Oryzias latipes: one gene and its partners. The protein of the gene in region 3 interacts with the protein of the main gene of each other region in a pairwise test. Links are inferred from orthologs where the notes say so. Each region holds a gene or a part of one and is shown on either strand. Other genes may lie near its edges.

Region 1 (4,505 bases), on a different chromosome or scaffold from region 3:
TTACAAACAAGCCGATGGCTGTGGTTCCATTTTTTTTTGGCATGCTGCAAAAACAAAAGTGGAAGCAAACTGTTGCAGGCTTGTGAAAGACAGGACCACAGTGTCTCCTACCATCTCAGCTGAACAGCCAACCTGACAACTTCAAAAAGCCTTTCATTCATTCAAAAAGACAAAATGACCCCACAGATGACACCAAGCGGCACGCTGATTCATGTAGCGACAAAACAGTTTGCTTTGGATACAATGCAAAAAAACAAGACAACACAACACAAAAAAGAATACCATGACTCACATCCATGTCCCTTATACCTACATGTGATTGTTTTTAAATGTTTTATCAATACATTATGACAACGAAGTGAATTTCATTGGTGAAGGCTTATAGGTCTACAGGGAAGGGTGGAGCATAATGCGTTTGGCAGAGGAAGTGATGTAGGCGTGGTCTTTACTAGGAAAGAGTTGAGGAAAAGCAACTGATGTCACCAGGAGCAGCGTGGGGGAACAAAACAAGAGAAATCTACAAACTCTGACCAAACTGTTCAGTCACAGCAGCTGGGAAGGAAACCTGAGCTGCTCTGTTATCATCCCACAATGCTCCCGCCCTGACATCAGCGGCTTCGTCCTCCTTTGTTTCTCGCAGCACACCACAATAGGAGGGAGAGGAAGGCTAGCGTGACGGCTATCGGAGGTCTTACACATGGAGCGCCGGTAGATGGCCTTGACCTTGTCTTTGTCCTTGGATCTGTTCCTCATGAAAGGCAACCTTTTTATAGCTGTCAGAGTGCCGCCAGAGACAGACGGACAGTGAGACGGACAGGGGGAGGGAGAGTGACAGAGCAAGCCCAGGGGAGGTAGAGGAGTAGAAGAAAAAAAATAGAAAAAGAAGGACAGAACAGACGGATGTGGTTAACGTTAGCACATTTGGGGCCAGGGAAGACATGAGCAGAAAAAAGCTGAGTTCTGGACACTCAACTAAACAGACAATACAGACCGATGATCAGATCATTAACTAGGCTTTCCTAAAAACTGTACAGTAATAGGAATTCTATCTTTTATTAATATTCTATTAAAAATAAGGTAAGAAATATACTGAAAAACGGATATAAAATGTTGTTTAGTTAGAGGGAAGTTAAATGGCTTAAAGTCCCCATCATGTGTATTAAATTTTACAACTAAGATTAAAAAAATAATAAAATAAAAACCAATTTGTACATTTCTGTGCAAGTTTCTCAAATAAACAGGAAAGCCTCTGACTAACTAAGTGTAAATGCGGAAAAATACTGAAGAGATGAATATTATACAAAAACATGTCAACAAAAAGAGGAGAAAACAAAAACAAAAGCATGTTGCATGTTATGGGAACACACACTTTCACATTCTATCGGCACAACACTTTCCTTAGGGTAGCGGTTCTAAAATCTGTTTACCGCACCTAAAACTGGTTTCATAAATGACATACTACAAACGACATAACCATACATGAAGAAACCTAGATGAGACATGGACGACAAACCGTATTAAAGGGTGCAATAGGGAGGGAGGGGACCATAAAGAATAAACTGCAGCTAATGCTGCCATTAATTGACTGCTAGGAATGATTCGTGGTACATTTGCACGCCGACCTACTAAACTAAACTAAAAAAAAACTGCAATTCTAAGTACCCCATAAGAAGCTCTGAATGTGAAGAACCTGTTGTGTCAGGATTAAATCTGAGCCACAATGAATTGCACCATTTAATATCTATGATGCTATGGTAACTTATGTCTGTTTTACAGGTGAGCAGCACAGACCAACAGGTCAGTTCATAAGGGCCTCTAAGCTTTTGAAGGTATAACTCAAACAGATGTGGGGCTGAAATACAGCTGTAGAAGTTGATGTTTGAACCACACAGGGTGCTCTTGATTCACGTGATTATTAATTATTAAGCTGAACATAATAAATATCAATATCAAAAGAGAATGTGGTACCTAACCTTCAGTTAAACAATATCATACAGTTGAAAATAATGTTTGAGAATGACAAGAAAAAGGCAATGGAAGATAGACTGACCACTATAAACAAGGTCCCAACTGAATCAGAGGACAAGTTTCTGAGAGTTAACATCTGCGGGAGCCAAATACAGGAGAAAGCTTCAAGCACAGCTCAACTGTGAGCTTTGTTAGCAGATCTCAGATTGAGCTTTGAAGAGAAGGCTCCAGCCTACAGTTCTCTGGTAGAAATACACCTAGAGTTATCAATTATGATAACAGATAGAGCAAAATGATGGTAATCGGTTTAATCTGCAGTCAGAGGGGTTTATAACCAAAATAAGCTTAAAGCACAAAATCTAGCTGCTGTTCAGAGGCCGAGTTAATTGCATTTACACGTAACCTATAATTTTTTTAAAGAAATCTTCAAGTTTATGTTTAATGGTAAAAAAGGATTGCCAGTGCACCATAATGATAGAAAATGCTGTCTGATCTGGCTTTCTTGTATTCTTAATTCAGGTAAATTTTGCTGCGGCAGGAGGATCTTTTCGACTAAGGGTGTATTTTATTTTGAAGGGCTGCTGTCAAAAATAATATTAAAATCATAAAACTATTATAACTCAAGTATTGTAAATCTTTGAAAGCTATAGTCTGTAAAAAAAAAAACAGACCAAATGGCTCTTTTAGAATTAAAGGTTGCAGACAGCCGACTTAGGTCTAAAACTTGATTCCCACATTTCTTTTTCCAACATTTTAGAGTGCATTAAGACATTACTCTACACACTTGCCAGCTGGAATTGAAAACACTGGACTGTTGTAAAACTTTGGACCTGTTGTGTACTTTCACTGACACCAGTGATTTGCTTATTTAGCAATTCTTTGAACACAAATACGACAGCAGGAATCAAGTGCACCCATTCTGTTCAAGGCGATATTTCACCAGTCAACCTTGTTTTTCTGCGCAGCTCAGCTGTAACCTCTATGACTGTCGAGTGACACAGACAATGGACTCACGAAAACATGCCCCCAGAGACATGACAGTCGGATCATAAGCCCCGCCCTCCCTCCCAATCCGCAGCATACCATTGGAGGAACCCTGCCCTTGGGCATGGGACTGCTGCCCTCTCCTCCCTTTTTTGCAGAGAGATAAAGAAGCAAATGAGCAGTTAGGAAGGAAAAGCCTCATGTCAACATTCAGATATACTGTACAAACCCACTAAAGCAGGACAGTTTGACAGCCTGGATGTTTCAAGGGTGCAGAGGAGCCTTTTAATCAGCCTTTTAAACAAAAGCTGCAGTTGGTACTCACTGATGCTACTTTTCTGTTTCAGAGTGTCATCCAGCGAGTTGGAGCCAGAGCCGATAGATGAGCTGTCCTGGCTGTCTATGGGAAGCGTCAGGAAACCGTCACCGCATTCTGAGTGAGATGGAGTCAGCGTGAGGGAACGCATCCTCTCCCGACTCTTCGGCTTTATTAGCTTTTTCATCTTCAGAGTGATCCAGTTACCACGCCTACAAGAAAAATCATGTCATCTCAAACACTGTGTTGACACGTTTCTGTTTGTTTTTCATTTGGAACCCTCAGTTACCTGCGTGGTGGTGAAGGGTCATAAAATTTGTATTGGTCCATGATCTTCTCTTCTAGCTTCTCCTTTTGCCTCCTCAGCTCATTTAATTTGTCGCTAAAAAAATTCAGAGAGGAAATCAAAATCTTAGTATTTGTGTTTCTTCGCCTGAAACCAAAATCTCTCTTGTGATGCATTTAGACAGTTTTTTTTGTTAAAACAGATTCAAAAAAAAAAGTTTTGCTCTGGATTTACATGTATTGTCTTTGCTCAACATGGAACAGGTCCTTGCTCTCCATCGTTTGTTCCAGAAGTGTGCGATTCTGTAACATGAGGGTCTGGATTTGGTCCAACAGATGGCGGTTTTCTTCCTCCAAGTTTCCTTTGAGTTGGCTTAGTAACTAAAATCAGAAAAAAAAGATTGTTTTAGAGGCTGGAAAAAAAATTCATGGAAACATGAAAGAAAATGATGCTCTACTCACTTCACACTGGTTTGTGAGCTTGGTGGAGGTGATGTCCAGCTGCTGGTACTGCTCCTTCAGTTTAGAGAACTCAGCTTCCAGCTTGGTTTGCTCCAGTTTGGCACTGTTCAGCTGGCTTTTTATGCTCTTATGATCCAGCTGAAGATTCTCATTGTCCTTCAACAGCTGACGATAGCTTGAATTCAATCTGAAAAGAGGGACATTTTATCAAATGACAGCAGGATCATTTATTTTTAGATTTAGATTTTCCTCCTGTGCACAAAAAGAGAAAATCTCTAGATTTGAGGATTGTCCTAGCCAAAGACAGGATACTTTCTAGTAAAGGAAAAATAGAATTGTCTTGATGTTGAGGAGTTCTTTAATTTCACAGATGCCATAAGATTTGGCATTAAAGCATGTGTAGGTGGCTCATACACAACAACTTAAGGGACTGTGGGGGTTTTTCATCATGCAAAAGAAAACAGTGCCTATGATTTGTTCACAAAAAGCA
Region 2 (4,505 bases), on a different chromosome or scaffold from region 3:
TCGCTTTACATAAAAAAAAGATTTATTAGAAAAAACTAAAAACAAAAATCACTGTATATGTTTTGACAAAAACCAATAAAAATCTCCATTTTTAAAAATTTCTCAATATTGTGCAGACTAACTGAATAAATTGGGTTTCGTTATTGTATTAAATTCTGCATTTCCTCCCACGTCTCTGGTTGGTAAAACCTGCAAACCGACTGTGGTGCAAACCCTTAAGATGCATGGGTGACCCGACTACATGTGGGGGTTCTAATCTGCTTGAAAGCTGCCTAACCAGTCCAGCTGCCAATCAGTCTTTTCATCCCTGCAGGGATGCAAAGCCTAAATGTAAATCCTATCAACTCAAGCCCTGCTTTGATGAGATATAGAAAAGTGGAAGTCTGCAGGTAAACAATGGTGTCAGGTGTACCATAGTTTAAATATAAGGTAAGCAGAAATGCAAGGAAGTAGATAAACATTTAGTTCATATTACAGCATCTAGTTACTACAAAAACAGACCATTAAAGGTTTAGAATTTAAATTTATTAGTATTCTAATAGTTAAAAAAAATACAAAGATGTATTTACATCTTGACACACTTAACACCTCTTTGTTTACAAAGCACTGGCAGTCACATGTGCATAATCTGATTGACGTGGCTATTATTAGACACTGATCATTCCATTGAGCTGTCTGTATCAATCCAGATTACGCAGTCGTTTTGCTGTACTGATTGGAAAGCCCGGGATTTTTTTTCTGCAACGAGCAAATCTGAAGATCGCAAAATAGAATGGTCTGGAAGAAAGATGTTCTGCTTTTCAAAATAAAGGGTCAGAGTGTGTGAAGAGGCTTTGAGAGGTTGGAATCAGCTCAGGATGCCCCCTCTCATGTGTCCACTGTCGCTCAGCCCATGCTCTATTAATTTGATGTCTTCCAGGTCATCTTTAATGACGCTGATCAGATGACTCAGACCTTCCTGCTGCTGCTTCAAGTGCTGCATGACGGAAAGAAGAAGACGCTTAGCGACAAATTATAGACAGTCGTACAAGCAAATGAGTGACAGGATCCCTCACTTGTTTGATTTCTCGGAGCAGGTCTGCATCCACACTGTAGCGCTCTTCTGACCTCACAGCTCCAAAGTGGTTCTGCATTCGGATTTGGGACATTAATTCATTCAGCCGACCCTTAATGAGAGGAGGGAAACAGTTATTGGTGGGTTTTCACAAAGGCAGTTTGATCTCCAACAGTACTTTAGATTTACAAACATGACAGACTTTACAAAAACGAAAAAGATTGGCAAAGACTTATTTCTTAAGAAATGAAATAATTGCTGTTTTTTAAGCTATTTAGACTCATCTACGTCCACGAAACCACCAAACAGCAGCAGATACGCAAAGATGGACTAAAATTATTCAAAGATTAATAACACGGGTTGTGTCCAAATTCCCTCACTACTCACCACTTGGTGCAATTTTTTGGGATTTTTGAATCTACAATTCCAAAATCAAGTGCCCTGGAAATTTCCAAGAAGTCTCTCCGAGAAACTAGTGTGCATCGCTGCTCACTAGATTGGCGAATATCGACCACAATGAACTGCATTTGAACAATTTTTCATTTAAAAAAAAAAAGTGTTTTACATTCATTTTGTATAAACCCTCAAAGTTTTTCTCATCAGAACACAGTGGATTCATAAAAAGTCTTTGTAAAATATCAATAGTTATTAAGTTTGCTGTTCAAAAAAATGCAGTAAGCATGTTAACTCCAGAACCATAGATAGCCCTTTAGTAGTTAGGGAGTAGTGAGGCAACATAGCTATTTCTATTGTCAAATGCAGCTTTATAAAGTTACAAATTTAGACCCATTTTGTCTACTTCCAGACCAAAGCCTTCAGTGAGAGTAGCTTCCTGCTCCAGTTTGCAGAGACTTGCCTTGAACTGTGTGGGGGCATTGAGTTCGGACTGAATGGTGTCCAGCTGCACTCGGAGATGCTCCTCGTCCACTTGGATTGCGTAGCCACTTTTCCTTTGAATCTCCTGTTTGATCAAAACCTTCCAGGAAAACATGGCAATGATACACAGGACAGTGTTGCCGAGCGGAGATAAATGCAAGCAGTGCCAAAACATTCAAATGTGATAGAATATACAGATGGGATTCATCAGTTTACTTGGAAGAATAGTACCGGACAACATTAAAACCTTCAGAGAGAAAGAATGTAGGACAGAGGGCCTCTGAGCCTCCACACAAACACTTCTCTCAGCTTTATGGAGATTTTGCCAGGAACGCCAGTTCAGTGGGATTTCACCTGATCATCAACAACAGCTGCAAGATTACAGACTTGAAGAAAGATTCATTATTCAGTCTCTGCAGCAGGTGAACAAAAAGTCCAAACAGCGGCTCTCATTTAAAAATCCATTTTCAACCCCTTCCACGCACTTTTTTATAGCTACGGTTTCTTATCAGAAAACATCACCTTTCTTAAGTCAAATTATAGGACTGCCCAAACAAACAAAAGTGTGATTTCCAGTATTAATAGAAAAAAAATCAGGAAAATGATTGGAAATTGGGCCTGATCATTTACAATCGCCACTCGCATTCCAAACAGGGATTGGATATTTATTTGAATCTTTTTATGATCAGTGGTATATGCTGCAGGCTCATTATTACAACGTAATACTCCATTAGAAGTCTTTATATCATGAAAGGATCCTGACATTGCCAGAAAGTGTATAGAATACGGCATTAGCTTGGGCAGGAGGTGCACAAAAACAGTTTGGTCAAGGTGGCGAGATAACCCCAGATTTGGACTTGCGAGATAAATACCTCGTATGAAAATCTTTTAAACTGACAGCAAGTGTCTTTACTAGCTTGTCTCAACTCTTCTTTGTCCATCTCAAGTTTTTATGTTTTGAATATATTCTCAAAAATCTTTGTTTTTTTCCTCGCAGGATAATGTCTGGACTTTCTGGCGATTCTTGCAAAAATGCAGCTCAGAGCAGATCAGCTGTTGAAAAGAACCAGCTCTGAGGTTTTTGATCTAAAGAACTTTTAAGGCACTTAAAAAAACAAAAACTCTAACAAGCTCTAAATAAAAGAATTACTGATACCGACAGTCTGATACAGACATCTCTGTAATTACAATTTAGTCTAATCTGATAAATGTGGACGCTACCTGCAGCACCCTGTGAGACAGATCCATCAGTTTCCTCTTGTATTGAGCGATTTTGGCCACGGTTGTAGCCTGGTTCTTCTGCAGTTCACTGATGTCATTCGATATAATCTGCAATTTCAAACAACAATGCACTGGATTTTTTGCGTTTTAATAGTTCTTAATGCTAAAAACTACCAGCATCACACCTGGAGTTCCTCTCAAAGTTTCTTCAAGCATAATAATAATTTGTTTTGTTTAGACCTGCACAATAAATAGCAAATTTGTCATTATAGTGATGTCAAGCTATGCAATATTCGTATAAAAAAAGATGGCAAAAATTCCAATAAATATTTACCTTAAATGTGCTACAACAATCTCATGCCAGCTTGAAGAATTTAATGGATCATAAAATGCCTTTTTGCATTTGACCAATCAGAAGTACTCCTTTACATAATTAACCAATCGCATGGAGCCCTTTTAAGTTAGATGTTTGCCTCCCATGTAGACGAGGGTCATTGGAAGAATAATTTAAGTTATGTTGACTCTTATTTAAATTAAACTGTAGCAGTGAAATGGAAATTCTGTACTTAGTTGTTTCGCAATTTCTTCATGCATCGCAAATTATATCGTCATCGCAATGTTGATCAATAATATCACAAATCATGAGTTTTCCTCATATTGTGCAGTCCTAGTTTTGTTCCACCAAGTTGTATCAGTTTTTAAATGATTCGAATTACATTATTAAACTTCTTTTTATAATAATATTGGATTATCTTCCAATCCAAAACTAATCTGTAAATAATGACTCCATTTAAAATCACCATATTTAGGGTGGTTAACTGAATAGTTAAAAGCATTATTCTAAAGCTAGTGTGTACACGTTTTATGAAATACATTGTCAATTTTGAACCCCCCGGTGAAAACACCTGCAGCTGTATTTGTAAAAATAACTTCAAAATAAAAAACAAACAGTTGGCAGCGAGCGCGAACATCTGCGCTCGGGCCTTGACCACAGTTTCAGAATTCCTGCGTTGATATCAGATGGTTTTGTGCACCGGTACTTCTAAAACGGCAACCAAGAGCCACAAACTATTTTTCATCTCACTCACATCCACTCTGGTCTGGTGCTGTTTGGTCATCTGTTCCTGGATCTGCAACCTGCGCAGCAGCTCTTTAAATCCAACCATGGGCACTGGGAATAACCTGAAAGAAGAGACGAACGTCTGGAAATTACTTCTTAACTGACCAAAAAGTAGAAAATGAACCTGTTAGAATTACGTTTATGTAATGTCTGTGCAGCTGTCTTCCATTGGCCCGGCTCTGCCTCTGGATTATGGCACGCTCTCATCATTTTATTAACTTTATGAAGCACTTT
Region 3 (5,161 bases):
GGATTGAGAGGAGTTAAACCAGCAGTCATGTTTCAGTGTTGGGATGAGGACCTGCTGTTCACCTCTGGTGACTCGATCCTTCTCCTCCCTTAGTTTGAGGAGATCGAGGTGCAGCTTGTTGTTCTCCCGGACCACCCTGGCGTTCTCCGCTCTGTAGGGCTCCAGCAGAGCATCCACGCTCCTGCTCTCCTCCTCAGTCTTTCCAGCTGATGATTTGGCATTGCGTAAGCTCTCGGTGGTGTGGACCAGATCACTGAACAACAGAGCATGCGTCACGTGTGGCTTGGGGTTAATGGACACAGATGGAGGAGAGGGCTTCACCTGAACAGTTTATCCACCAGAGGCAAGGACTCGATTCCGACCGGCTGTCGGTAGCCCAGCTGATCCAGACGTTTCCGTAAATTAACGAACTTCCTCTCTGCGCTGCTGTTCATGGCTGCATGAAGAAGACGGGATTCATTCGAAAACCTCAAACTAAGCTAGTGGACATCCTAAAAACAAAGTTTTTTTGTTTTAATAAGTAAATAAGCTACCGCATTTTTTTTAAAAAGCCACTTGCTTTTAAACCAAGGAGAAACACAATGAAGTTTACAGGTTACCTTCACCTTGTTTGTTAGAAAGCGAGTGTCCACTCTGGTGGCTAATGTTAGCTAGCAACGTAAACCATCCACAATTCAAACATCCAGGTTAACTGCGTCGATAACTAGTTCCATCCTCAGTTCATGAATCGATGTAAACTTCCCAGCCAGTTTGAAGAATTCGGTGTTTCCGCGGTAAAGCGGTTTAAAAAGAGCGCCGTCGTTTTCGCATTCGTCACCATGTAATTCAAAAGGGCATGGAAACCGCTTGTTTTGTCATTCGGCATTGCCCGCGGGGGCGGGTTAGTGACAACCCATACACTCAGAACTTTCACGCTGATTTGCTGACGATTAAAACAAACATGTATCCAGTGGCGACGCTTCACTTGTAAAATTTATTATATACTAAGTGATATACAGGAACGGGACAAACAGTTTCATGTGAAGCAGAAGCTTTTAAACGTGGAAAAAACAGGCGAGATAAGAAAATGCAGTATCTCCACCACAGTCCAGTCTACAATTTCTTTTAAAGACAGAATGAAATATTCATGCTTGTATAAGAAAGCACCAGTTTTTAAGTTGCTCTTGTATTTCTAGCCAGTGAGTGGCAGTAGTTACTCATTAATGGACAGCAGCAAAACTAATGTGACTGAGCAATGCTGGAGAAGTACTCCAGCACATCCTGGATGGTGAACTCCATGGTGATCCCAGATCCAGGGTAGCATCTGCCAATCAAATCCTCAAAGTGCTTGTACTGACGGATGAACTCATCTTGCATGGAATGCCACACCACCTGATGAAATTAATCAAAAAGTCTTTTGGAGTCACGAAGAGAAAACATGCCAACTACAAGTTGGATCTCATAGCGTTCTGACCTGGAGTAAACTTTCTTCTTCACATAGATGTTTATCCACCTTCTTGTAAAGGTTATCCAGGCCTTTCTTCACCTCTTTCCCAGGATACTCTTTGATGACTTTGCGCAGCTCTTGCTTGTTAAATGCCAGCTGGTAGCTCACCTCGTCCTCACGAACGCCCTGAGCAACGCGGGATTCAACCCCCTCAAAGAAATGCTGCAAATCAACCATAAAGATACCCTCAGATAACACACTTTTGACCATCAGAACCTGTGATGAGGAAAATTCTTCATACGTTGAGTTTTTCCAGAGGTTGGCCCAGCGAGTTGATCACATAGGACTGCAGATGGTCAGTGTATTTATGCTTTGCCTCTCGTTTCTCTGCATCCAAGCAGGAGATCTTCAGACGGGACAGAGTGGAAAAAATGTGGTGGAAATTTTCCATCATCACAACATCCCGCGGCGTCTTCTGGCTCTCATTTGCCACCTTTTCCACTAAAAGAGAACCACATGATGTCACTTGCAGCTCACTTGCTTTTGTCTGTTTAAAGCTATGTTCACGCAGTCCTCTGCAATCCACGTTCAAGCAACCACTTTCAATGGAAAGTCTATGTAAACACGAGTAAATGCGCGTTTCGGGGTTCTGCGTTAACGCACATTCAAGAATGCGCATTTAGTGCATTCAAGAATGCATGTCACATGCCTGGTGTGAAAGTAGCATCAGACTAGCGGTCTCACCGTTCACAAAGACAGCCTTGATCAGCTTGACATAAGCCTTATCCAGGTCGCCTCTGCGCTCTGCGTTTCGAAAGATGGTCTCAGCAAGCTCTGCAAACTCTTCAAAAGCTGTAACAAATGGGAGGATGCCCACTTTGGTTTTCTTAGGAATCTTCACCTCCTCCATCTGTCTTATTTGACCCAGCTGCATATGAGAACATATTCAAACTTATAACAATTTATTGTAAAACAAAATGCAAGCAGTAGGAATATAGAAAAATAAGTCGACCCCACTCACTATGCATTTGTCAAAGTTCCTCTTGACAGTGACCAGCACGTTTCCCAGGGTGGTGCTGAGAAAAGAGGCAGGGTCCACGTTCTCCGCCGTCCACACATGGTGACTCATCTTCACCAGCATATACAGAGAATGGAAGCTGTCAATCTTGTCGCCCAGAGCGATGAGGCTGTTCAGCTCTGTCTCAATGCTTTGGAAGATTTTATTCATCATCAGCCGCACCATGTCCTTCCTTCAGTCAAAAAAGCAAGTGAACAAGTACTGTGAGCACAGTTGAAATTTTACAGCAGGTCAAATTGACATCAGAGACGTTGGTAGCAAAGGGAAAGCACTGACTCTGATGATGAGTGTCTGTGATCGTTCTGTGGGGGGATTCTTGATGCTGTGCTTCCGTCTAACTCCTCTGTCTCAGGCTGATGCAACAAATAAACATGAGGGCAAATCCTAGTCTCTAATAAAGCAGATTAACATATTAAGTTGAAACTAGGGATGTCTGGGTCAAGTTTTTTTGGCCCCAATTCGATTTTGAGTCTTTGATTTTGAGTACCTGCCGATTGAGTCCAAATCAGATACTTTTGTAACACATTAAAAAAATGAACAAATTTAATAAGCAGATCCAGGTTTCCCACTATTTTTAATTGTATTACCCTTATTTTATAACCTAACACCTAAACAGAACAGTTATATGAAATAAAGTGAACAATCAAGTAAAGAAAAATCAACTAGAAAAATGGTTAACTATTTAACTTATTAAAGTGGGTGAGATTTAGTAATGTAAGAAGGTTTTGTGACTGTAGCTTTAAGATCTTCACAACTATTAAATATTTTTGATCAGATATGATTCATATCTTCATTAAAAAAAATTTAAAATGAATTTTGACTTTCTCTCAAAATCATTTAGCATGGAAAAGATGATGAGTTTTCATAACTAGCTCCTATCAATGGAACTGTTTATTAGTTTTGGTTGTTTTTGAAGGATTTGGGATTTTTCTGTTTAATTATTTTTTTCCTGGAGCTTGCACTTTGGAGACGATCCCTTGGCAGCCGTCTTACTGCTGTCTTTCGGCAGAATGGAGAGCAATTCTCATTAAAAAGAAACAAAAACCCAATCTTTTCTCTTTTGAAATGCTTTTGTAGGTTGTTTAAGTTAAGGCCAATCCATAGGAACACTTGCCGTCAGTTTAAATCATAAATTAAAAAAGTTATTGAGCCTGGAAGTCTGAATCTGTGAATATCTTGCCAACTTTACTGAACATTTTGAGCGTTTACTGCTCAAACTAGTGTCATATAAGGTGGACGGGAGAACGAATACAGGGAGCTTGTGGATGAATTTGTGAGATGGGCTTGGAATAAATCACCTGCTGCTCAGTGTGGACAAGAGCACAGAGATTGTGATTGACTTCAGAAAGAATCGACCAGCTTCCCAGCCTAATATGAATTAAATATTCTAATCCCTAATCGGGATCAGATTCCGATCGAGTCTAAAACCACATGATCAGGCCCAATATCCAATCAAATGATCGACTTTAGACATCCCTAGTTGAAACTGTTTTAGTAATATATGATAACTGATGTACCTGTGCAAGAGGGGGCATAACCGTTTGGTGCTGCTGAAGTTTAAAGAACTTGCTGATGAAGTCCTGCTCTGCCAGACACAGTGGCTCCAGCTCACTGAGGACCTGCTCAAATATCTGCACAGACGAACAAGCCCACACTTATTCTTCTGATTACAACAAAAATTTTCTAATTCTGCTTTTAACGCTATGTTGCCTTGTCAAACTTGGTCCTGTCTGCCACATCCAGATCCGACGCAGACATGTTGCCCATATCCAGCAGCGAGGAAGACTGGGAACGCCGGCTGTTGGAGCCCTGCACTGTAAGCTTGTTCAGACTCGAGGTGGAACCCGTCAGCTTCCCAGAGCTGCCATGCAGGCCTGACGTGGCACAGCAGAGATCAAACATGAGCATCAGTATGACAGGAGCATAATTCAAACTACACAGGAATTTAAGTCACTGCATGTTTAGTTCTGAAAAAATTCAAAATAAAGTTGATGTAAACCGTTTGCTTTTTTGGTGTTTAATGTGGAATGAAATGAAATGATCAGCTTTACATCAAACACAAAAAAAAAAACAGTTATAAGTAATGACTTATGCAGCAATGTATTAGAGCAAAGACGAAATTTCAAAACAAATTTGAGCAAAGGAATGAGAAACAGTGAGTAACTGACAGCTGGATCCAAGCGTTGTACTTACTTTCTGGTTCCTGTTTGAGCGTGCTCTCTTTCCGCGGAAGCGTGGCTACAGCCAGTTAGAAATGCAGGCATCAAAGACAGACACAAGTTAGCTTTAAACATGCAGCATGGAGGAGAGGAAGACAGATATTAGACGCAACACATGCATTGCCATGCATTGCAGGGGCTTTAGAAGGAGCTCAGGAAAAACAAATGGCTTGGTTTTCATAGTCATTGTACTATAATTTTGCAAAAAAAAATAGAGCTCAACTAAGGGTCAAATTTACACATTAAAAAATGATATTTGAGCGAGTAAAGTGCCTGTGCAAGGGAAAGAAGAAACAGAAATGAAAAATAAAACAAGACAAAAACACTTTAGAAACCCAAAGAAGTTCTGTCAAATATATTCAGCCAAGAGAAGTGTTGCAGAAAAGGCAAATTGAAAAAGAAGAATCAACTTGAATATTACACTGATTTTTGATTTCA

Evidence for each region. The genes of interacting proteins can lie anywhere in the genome.
Region 1: the proteins of exoc1 (region 3) and ccdc88a interact in a two-hybrid assay, tested with the Homo sapiens proteins (2 studies listed by BioGRID and IntAct). The link is inferred for Oryzias latipes from reciprocal best matches to the Homo sapiens genes EXOC1 and CCDC88A.
Region 2: the proteins of exoc1 (region 3) and nup54 interact in binary tests that used the Homo sapiens proteins (3 or more experiments, as listed by UniProt). The link is inferred for Oryzias latipes from reciprocal best matches to the Homo sapiens genes EXOC1 and NUP54.

The regions. Positions count from the first base shown.
Region 1 is NC_019873.2:15,835,221-15,839,725, forward strand, and holds part of ccdc88a (girdin), read right to left. Parts: intron 4,203-4,505; coding exon 4,016-4,202; intron 3,935-4,015; coding exon 3,789-3,934; intron 3,651-3,788; coding exon 3,558-3,650; intron 3,481-3,557; coding exon 3,278-3,480; intron 3,100-3,277; coding exon 3,052-3,099; intron 774-3,051; coding exon 696-773; intron 1-695. UniProt on the Homo sapiens protein: Bifunctional modulator of guanine nucleotide-binding proteins (G proteins). Acts as a non-receptor guanine nucleotide exchange factor which binds to and activates guanine nucleotide-binding protein G(i) alpha subunits.
Region 2 is NC_019870.2:10,476,588-10,481,092, forward strand, and holds the end of nup54 (nucleoporin p54), read right to left. Parts: intron 4,334-4,505; coding exon 4,240-4,333; intron 3,260-4,239; coding exon 3,152-3,259; intron 2,031-3,151; coding exon 1,911-2,030; intron 1,167-1,910; coding exon 1,056-1,166; intron 977-1,055; coding exon 848-976; 3' UTR 504-847; downstream 1-503. UniProt on the Homo sapiens protein: Component of the nuclear pore complex, a complex required for the trafficking across the nuclear membrane.
Region 3 is NC_019862.2:72,475-77,635, forward strand, and holds the end of exoc1 (exocyst complex component 1), read right to left. Parts: intron 4,743-5,161; coding exon 4,698-4,742; intron 4,379-4,697; coding exon 4,215-4,378; intron 4,136-4,214; coding exon 4,022-4,135; intron 2,858-4,021; coding exon 2,781-2,857; intron 2,677-2,780; coding exon 2,448-2,676; intron 2,355-2,447; coding exon 2,171-2,354; intron 1,928-2,170; coding exon 1,728-1,927; intron 1,649-1,727; coding exon 1,454-1,648; intron 1,372-1,453; coding exon 1,219-1,371; 3' UTR 955-1,218; downstream 1-954. Other genes in the region: cep135 (centrosomal protein of 135 kDa), read right to left, coding at 63-253, 322-434.